2 linked regions of the Oryzias latipes genome follow. The protein of the gene in region 2 purifies or fractionates together with the protein of the main gene of each other region. This does not show direct contact. Links are inferred from orthologs where the notes say so. Each region holds a gene or a part of one and is shown on either strand. Other genes may lie near its edges.

Region 1 (4,101 bases), on a different chromosome or scaffold from region 2:
GTCTGAACAGAACCAAGCAGTTCCTGCTCCGGGACCAGAAACCGCTCGGACCCATCTTTGTGGGTTAGTTTCCAATCGGACTGAGCTTCTGTGCGCTCTGAGATTCCCCAGACTGAATACAACCTGTACTTGGAGCAGAAAATTGAACCAAAACGGCCACCATAGCCAACGTAAACAGGGTAGGACTGAAGCAGCAGATGAGCTGCAGACAAATGTAAAGCAACAGAAAAAGGGTCCAACCGTTTTTATTGTTAAAAAATTTAAGACAGCTGAAAACACCTTCTAGATTCTTTTCAGTGTCTTTTAATGCGGTTTTGTTTTTTTCAACATTTCAGAGCAATGTCATACTTGTAGCCATATGCTTGGAGCTCCTTCCTTCACCTCCTTAACCTGAACTGCAGACAGCCTTACTTACAGACATTATTAAACTTTTTCTTTCTTCACAAACGCTGCAGAGGAAGAATCTGGAATAAAAAAAAGGAGAAAAAGATCTTTGCTAATCAACAAACCCTATTATCTCCCTATTACTTCAGGTTGATTTTTTTTAAAGTCTAATAAATTATTGGACAAGATATTTTGAAAATAACACAATTTTAAAAAATGTCTAATAATATGTTTTTTTATTTTGAAAATGAACATATGATCTTATACTGATACAAAAATAAATAAAAACAATTAGTTGCACTTTCCATTTATCATTTACTTTTTTAGGATCACTCAATCTATGATTGTCAATTGGAAAACATTTTTTTAACGTTACACATGCTGTACAAAGTAATCTTCAGTTGTGCAGATGTTTTTTCATGCATCTTATGTCACTGACACAAACCCCATAAAGATTTTTGAACATTTGTGTACATAAGCTGAAGGTAGTTTCTACTTTTTAAATGAAACCTGTTAGTTTCTCAGCATCAGAACTCCAAAACACCAAATTCCATCTTTTATTTGCCAACATTTTACAAAAACAGGCATTGAAACATTCTTGTTGACCAACATGTTTACATCAATCATCATCCCACCACATCTTGTTTCTATCTGCAGCTTTCCTGTTTTCCAGGTTACTTTTCAGTGATGTCCGTACTCTAGTTCCAGATGTGGATTTTTCTTTAGCACCAACTATTCTGTCTCCACCAGGCTCCCTTTTCGACTGGTCGGGGCTCATAAATGTCCTTTTCTCGTGTGTTTTTTTAAACTTTAGTGGCCTGTCAGCATGCTCTCTCCATCCTTGATTTGTAAAACCTCTGGTTGTCGTATTTGTTCGCAAAGGTTTTGTCTGCTGTTGGTGTAAACCATCGTGCTTTCTCTCAGGCACAAACGTTAAAGCTTCCTCCCATTTCCCAGTCATCTTAATAGAAAGCATGATACGGATCATCTGGTCCAGAGTCAAATTTTTGGCTCCAGTTTCCCAGTGAAGAAACTCATCCAGAGGTAAGCGTGCTGTGGCCAGCTTTAGGCGCTTGGCGTTGGCCAGGGACAGCCCTGGCTGGATGGAACGGTCCACCAAGGCTCCGATGATGTAGATCTTGGAGTGGTCAAAGGAGTGCAGAACGTTAGGGGAGTCTGCAGTGAGATAGACCAGTTGTTCTTTGGGGAACAGTTCCACATAGTGGCGTTCAGTGTTGGTGACGAGCAGGCGATCCCAAACTTCTGCACTGTACCGTTTGATCAACTCCTGGTGGTAAGGTCCGTCTGGCTGCAGGTTGCAGAAGTGGAGGTGAAAAGGGTCGATGGCGCGCCGATTCCACCCTTCCACCTCCAGCAGCTGGGACACAGTGTTCTCGATCTCTCGCCGAGACATGTTGGACTCGTAGCTGAAGTCGAACACAAGTGGTTGGCCAAACAGCATGGCCTGGGCGCTTCGCCAAGCAAACACTCTGTCAAAAGAATGTCCCCAAAACTTGAGGAAAAGCGAGTTTGGGATTTGGTTGTTCTCCTGATCAGACCCTTCCTCTGCACCGCCTCTATTCTCTTTCATTGTTGCTTCTTTTTCTGCTCTCTTCTGTGCCTGCTTTTCTTTGCGGGACAGTTTGTAGCCCTCCCTGATAGCCAGGTACTTTAGGTACTTCTTTCTGGAGGACTTAGTCGTGAGCTCGGACAAGGTTTGAAGCTCGTCTTCGGTCATTTCTTGAGGCACAAGCTTACCTGCTTGTCGCCACATTGACACAAGTTCACGAGTTGCCTCCAGGGAAGAACTGTTCTTACAATCATCTCCATTTTCATCCAGACTCCCATCGTTACTTCCTTCCAAACCATCATCAACTTTTTGCTCCTGGTATTTAGCTTGGGATCTCATGACCACCTTCCATTGGTCCAAATCTAGTGGTTCTGCTTGCTCAGATTTATCTTCTTTGGTTTGGATAAGATCTTTCTCCTTAGGATGTCCCGAACAGAGGCGGCGACAGGATATTAATTGTACTCCATCGCAGGTGAGAGGCAAGAATCTGCGCACTTGACTCCTGGGTGTCCCTACTTGACAGCCAATCCGTAATCCATTACAGCCTTTGCTGAATAAATGTCGAAGCATTTTAAATGAATCACCTCACGTTATCCTTTCTTGAAAGGCACAACCGGAATACATCCACGCTGCATGAAAGGAAATACGGATCAATAGTCTTTAAGTTTCAAAGCTCATTTTTACGTTAATAAGACTTGTAGCATCGTAGAATATCTAAAGAAAATAGAGAATATTACCAATGATGATCCAACGTGTGTCAGTGTACGAGATTTTTCATATCGGGTGGAAGGTCACGTTGTTTCAGGGTGTCGCACTGTAATGTGTCGTATTTGTTTCCAAACGGAAGCTTTTCGGTCCTGAACAACAGTTGATGATGTAATTTCCGCTAACTTTTCGCGACGAAAGTCACGAAGCTAACACATCAGCCCGCAAAATGAGTTTGTTTTTGCCTAAATTAACAACCAAAAAGGACATTGATGATGTTATCAAAGGGGTGGCTGAAAAAGTCGTTGTTCTGCGATTTGGGAGAGACGAAGACTCGGTTTGTTTGCAGCTGGATGAGATTGTAAGCGACAAGAAGTAAAGTTTAAAATGCCGTTTTCGATAAATGTTGTTGTCTGTTCAGTATTGATTTTCTTTTTCTGTCTTGATTTTCTTTTAGTTATCGAAAACTGCTCACGACTTGAGCAACATGGCTTCCATTTATATAATAGATGTAGACAAAGCGCTGATATACACAAGATATTTCGACATTAGTTACATTCCTTCAACTGTTTTCTTTTTCAACGGGCAGCACATGAAAGTTGACTATGGGTGAGTCTACGTTTATCTGCCATTTGATTCTTTTACTTCATTATTTTACTATTTTATTTAGCATTACAAGGGCACTGCAAACAATGCAGCCTTATAATACAGATATTATATATCATTAACCTATTTTTTAAACATTTAACTTTAATTTGTTTTAAATTATTATTATTATTGTTGTTATTATTATTATAAACCGTATCAGTCAGTCCACTTTTTTTTACTGGCCAAAACCCAACAAGAGCCGCAAACCCCCACCTTATTGTTAAGAAAAAAGCACTGTATGTATGTTTTTGTGACCATCAAGCCATTCATTTATAAAACTTAGCTTTTAAATATTTAAAAGAATTAAAGAATAACAGCATTATTGTTATTTTTTTATGCTAAAATGTTTTTATCTTTTTGAATGTAGAAATCCGTACATAAAAGTTCCATTCAAAATAAAATACCCCCTGTGTCAAATAAGGTCTTCCGACTGCAACAGTTTTACTTAAATTAGAAATGTAAGAAAGCCAGGTCAATTATTACATTTTCTATCATTAGGATTTTGGTATGGCTTCATCCTTTCTCTCCTTTACTTCTGAAAATAAACATGACAATATCCTTAAAAAAACTACGCATGTGTAAACCTTTTGAACTTAGCCTCAGTAGCAACAGGACTGTTGTTTAGCAGAAGGTAATAATTTTGGTTTATTTTTTTTTTAAATTATGAACAGCTCTAACAGTATATTAAACCCTTTATCACTATTTTGTTCACTTATTTGAGATCTTTGAACTATGGGGAGTGGAAAAGCACATGAGATCTCTGGATTTTAGTGTATTGTTGCAGTGGTACAAAA
Region 2 (4,613 bases):
GGTTCCTGCTATGTTCACCTGTCAGGACAGACGCAGAGCAGCGTGAGGCGTGATCTGAAACCCACATGTCTGTGTTTCCTTTTTCTGCTCGGCTCACGTTGATAACACGCTGGAAGTCCTCCAGACTGTGAGGGACGTCCTTCTTGAAATTGTATGTTTTGACCGCCACGGCGATGCCAGCACAGTTAACTGCAAGGTCCAACTTCCCGAACTTCTCTTTGGCCAGAGACACGGCTGATCGCACGTCTGCTTCTGACGTGACCTGGAAAAGGCAAACCATTCATGTCTTTAAAGGGTTCCAATTTTTAGGCACAATGGAGCCAAAGTTAGAACCAACATTAAACCTATGACTGCCCTCTAGTGGACGGAGAGGACATTACAGCAGAGACTTTTTTTCTTTTCTTTTTTCTGTCATGTAACCCTTGTGCTGTCCTAGGCACTTTAACATTGGGGGGTGGGTCATCTGGACCCCAGAAGACAGTGCTCTGAACCTTTTTTCTTCAATGATTTGTGATCTTCACTGGTGTCCATGGATTACATGAAATCTTTCCACCTTTATCCACCTTTGTCATGGTAGGGAGAACACGTCAATGTAAGGGTGGGGTCATCTAAGATAGCACAAGGGTTAAGCACAAATCTCTAATTTTTTTCTTTATGTTTACTAAAATATTGAATTTAGATTTCCTTAAAACAAACAGACATTGAAGAAGGGAGTTCCAGCTTTTCAGCTTATCATAGGATAGCAGAAGGGTTAAACATTATGAACTTTAGCTTTAATTTTGAATAAATGTGTGCTGCAGTTACACTGAACTGCTATTTTCTTACTATGTCAATTTACAGCCAATCTGCCAGATCTGACATATGGAAGAGTTTAAAATGCAAATTATGTTGAACTGTTTGTTCACACTAAAACTAAAGTGACAGACAGACCTGAACAAAAAGTAACATTTCCTAATGAGAGCATGTCAACCAACAGAACATGTTGTGACCGGATCTCAGAGGAAGACTCACGTCTGTCGGAGCGAAGGCACAGCGCTCCCCCAGGCTGGCCGCCACGGCCTCCCCATCAGAGGAAGGAAGGTCCACGATGACGGCAGACGCCCCGCTCTGCACCAGGCGCTCCACTGTGGCCCGACCCAAACCAGAGGCGCCGCCCGTAACCAGGCCAACCATGCCCTACCAAACACAGACAGACTTCAATTCTTCAATGGGATGAGTCAAGGGAGAGAACTGAGCAACTCTTTTTAAATGTCTGTACCTTCCACCATTTGAGAACGGACGTTTAAAAAATTAATTTGTATTTAAATCAAATGTGTTTAATAACAAGTAGAAAAAAATTAACATTAATAAATTAAAAAAGATCGAGTATTTTGGCAGTGATGCCCAGAAACGCTGACTTTTTAAAGCCCAAAGATATTGGTTTTTGATCAAAAATACATATTTGTTCAATGGGGAAAAAAGTATATTAGACACAGATCCTGCAGGTTGTCCCACTTAAACAGATGAGAGGTTTGTAATGTTTATCATAGATGCACTTCAACTGTGAGACAGAGTGGAAAAAAGAAAACTCACTGAATCTCATCAAATTGTTTTTGAGGAATGTTTGTATAAAAGCTGCAGGAAATGTGTATTTAGTCATTAAAAAATCCTCTCCATACTTTGCAATGTAACCCTGGTTTAACGACTGAGTCCAAATGTTTCCAGTAAGTCTTCACCAGGAATACTAACACCGCAGGTGCTACTTTGGTCCTTTCTCCCATCCGGATCTTCTCAAGAGCTGGGATGTTTTGCAGATGCTGCTGGAGGTCATAGACTTTGAACTCCCTCCATGGTTTCTCTATTAGACTCAGGACTGACTAGGCCACTCCAGAACATTAAAATACTATTATGTAACCCCTGGTTTTCCGGGTGATGCGTTTGGGATCATATGGTGAAAGATTCATCCTCAATCCTCTTTTTATATTTTACATTCTGTCTCTAACAGGTAAAGTGTTTGTGTGGTGAACATTACAGACGTTTCTCAGCCTTTTAAGTGGGACAAGTGTTTTGTTTTTGCCCCACTGTAAATAAAAGAATACTGATCTGTATTTGTCTTTTAAAAATAATAGTAACAATAATAATAATTACAGAATCAGGCAAAAGCAACATCAGAAAATCAACAAATCGTTATTGTTATATGTTTGTTTTTGGATTGATACATAGTAAACACAATCTTATCTTTATTTGCATTTTTCGCCCTTTGACGTAGATAATCCTATTCCCATTTGTAAAGGGCTTAAAGTCTTTAGGGAGACAATTATTTACTCGAACTGCATCATCATTATCATGTTAACACAAAATGTCATAAAATTATGTAAATGGTGTACAGAAGTCCATAAAGTCTTTTTTTTTTACTTGGGTAAGCATTAATAATGGAGAAGTCATTAGATTTAAATCAAACCCTCAGCTTTGTCGACCTTTTGAACGACCTCTGTTCTGCAGAGTCCAGCTATGAGGTTCATCACTGAGCTTCATGTTAGCTTCCCTGTCTGTCTGTCGAACTTCTGGACTCCACAGAAAACAAGATGGCGAATGGAAATAAATGCTTCAAACTAACAAACTAGTCCGCGTTAGGCTTAAATCTTCATTTCATTGCCCTGAAATGTGTTCATGTAAATGACGCCACGAGAAAAGAGAAGCAAATCTGTGGCTCTTTCTTACCTTCACACACCGAATGTTCGCCATGTTTGCTGTCCCGAGAGGTGACGTCACACCGAAGATCGTATATGTGAAAGATCCGTTCTTTGTCTACCATTTGCTAACTTGTCTTTTTTTTTTACCACATGTCCCCTGCTGTCATTATTTTGTGTTAAACATTAAAATCATTGTCATTGCTTTGTTTTGGATGAACTGGTCAATATGTTCTTTAAATGTGTTAATCCTCAAAGTTTTTTCTTTAATCCGTTCTTAAAGAAAACCAGTTCCACCTGAGTGATTGTGGTTACTTTGCAGTCAGACCCTTTAACCCAAATCAATGTATGCAAAATACACGATTTTTGTACTTTATGTTTATTGAAAAGTTGAAAAAAAACATCGACTGCCAACAAAGACATTAAATATTTAAAAAAAAAATCAAAATAAAATGTTATACTAATACTACTAAGACAGTACAAAATGGACGGAATTAATAAATTGTGTTAAAATTGCAAGGCTATTTAAAAATAAACGTATAATCAGTGTGAGAGCTCTTAGATTTTCCATCTTTGTGCCAGAAAAACCTCTGCCCTAGAACTTCCACTTGAACCAATCAGTGATTAGCTTTTAAGGACACGCCCCTCCCTATAAAAACGCATCATCCAATTAAAACTGTTTTGAGAGGTCAAATGAGGAGACCAACCGAAGCCTCCTTGATTTAAACTGCGATAAACCATTTTTTTAAAGCATTGAACGGTTTCCTAACAAATACACACATTTTCAAGATACATTCCCTCATTTTATTGTCATTTTTGAAGCAAAATATAAGTGTATCTATAAAATCTTATATTTCGTTTTAAGTTTCTTTAAAAAAAAAAGTTGCATCAGTCTGTCACTATGTTCTCTTTGTCCTTGGAAGTCCTAAAATGCTACTATAAATAAAACGTCCTTTTGTTATAGTGAAAAAGCAGGATGGTACAAGCAGGCTTATTTTTTTACTTTTCAAAACAAAAATTTAAATATAAATTCTAAATACTATTTGGCATGTGAATCTGCAATTTAAGCTTTGCAATTCTTATGAGTTTTATTGTTTCACAGCACAATACTGTCTTTGAAAAAAAGCTTTGCTTAAAAAAAAATAAAACCAGTAATGCATAAATATGTTATTAAAATACACAGCATTTTACCTCTAAAAGCTGGGAGAGAAAATCTCAGACATTTTTCAAGAAAATAAGGAGACATCAGTGATGGTTACTCAGTTTTATTCCTAAATATACAATATCCCACACCCAACCAACTACTTCTTTTTTTCAAACACATCTTCTCTAGCTCACACAAACGTTCTTTGTCGTTTCTTTTTTAAAAACTTGTAACTGTCAATTTTAAAGCTCAAAATGGACAAGCAGGTTGTTTTTGTCTGAACAGAACCTATTAAACGTTTACAGAACAAATAGGTCATTCATTGGAAAAAAAAAGGGCACGCGTAACAACAGCAAACTTAAGAGTAGGAAAATAAATCCCCAAAAACTAATTTCCAGTTGATGTAATCAGGAAGTAGAATGTAAGTCATCTGCATTCTTGTAGAAGGTGGAGATTTGGTGGCCTTGAGAAAGACAGTAGGCTGTATAGTTATCTCCCAGATCTGGTGTGATCCTAAAACTATACAAACTACTACCTCATCCCAAAGCTCCCATTTTTTCCCCTACATCTCAATGAGATCTTGACATCATCCAGCTTCTTGTTGATTCTGTGTCTGATCATGACACATCTGTCATGGAGAAACAACAACAGAACAAATCCGGTTTCCATCAGCCTAACGATCATAAACTCCTCTTCGCAGAAGCCACTTGTCCTTGAAGAAGGGTCAAATCCATGGCATGGAACTGCGGGTCTGACACGGAACATTGTGGATCGACTTCATGAAAAGCAAACAGCCATCA

Evidence for each region.
Region 1: the proteins of hsd17b10 (region 2) and trmt10c purify together in Homo sapiens (co-immunoprecipitation; 3 studies listed by BioGRID and IntAct, counting the BioPlex papers as one, with this or other methods). This does not show direct contact. The link is inferred for Oryzias latipes from reciprocal best matches to the Homo sapiens genes HSD17B10 and TRMT10C.

Annotation. Positions count from the first base shown.
Region 1 is NC_019861.2:16,612,459-16,616,559, forward strand, and holds trmt10c (tRNA methyltransferase 10 homolog C), read right to left. Parts: upstream 2,802-4,101; 5' UTR 2,692-2,801; exon of another isoform or gene 2,584-2,691; 5' UTR 2,525-2,583; coding exon 1,004-2,524; 3' UTR 714-1,003; downstream 1-713. Other genes in the region: txnl4b (thioredoxin-like protein 4B), read left to right, coding at 2,889-3,020, 3,117-3,268. UniProt on the Homo sapiens protein: Mitochondrial tRNA N(1)-methyltransferase involved in mitochondrial tRNA maturation. Component of mitochondrial ribonuclease P, a complex composed of TRMT10C/MRPP1, HSD17B10/MRPP2 and PRORP/MRPP3, which cleaves tRNA molecules in their 5'-ends.
Region 2 is NC_019865.2:26,393,442-26,398,054, reverse strand, and holds the start of hsd17b10 (3-hydroxyacyl-CoA dehydrogenase type-2), read right to left. Parts: upstream 2,802-4,613; 5' UTR 2,725-2,801; coding exon 2,701-2,724; intron 1,177-2,700; coding exon 1,012-1,176; intron 263-1,011; coding exon 98-262; intron 19-97; coding exon 1-18. UniProt on the Homo sapiens protein: Mitochondrial dehydrogenase involved in pathways of fatty acid, branched-chain amino acid and steroid metabolism. Acts as (S)-3-hydroxyacyl-CoA dehydrogenase in mitochondrial fatty acid beta-oxidation, a major degradation pathway of fatty acids.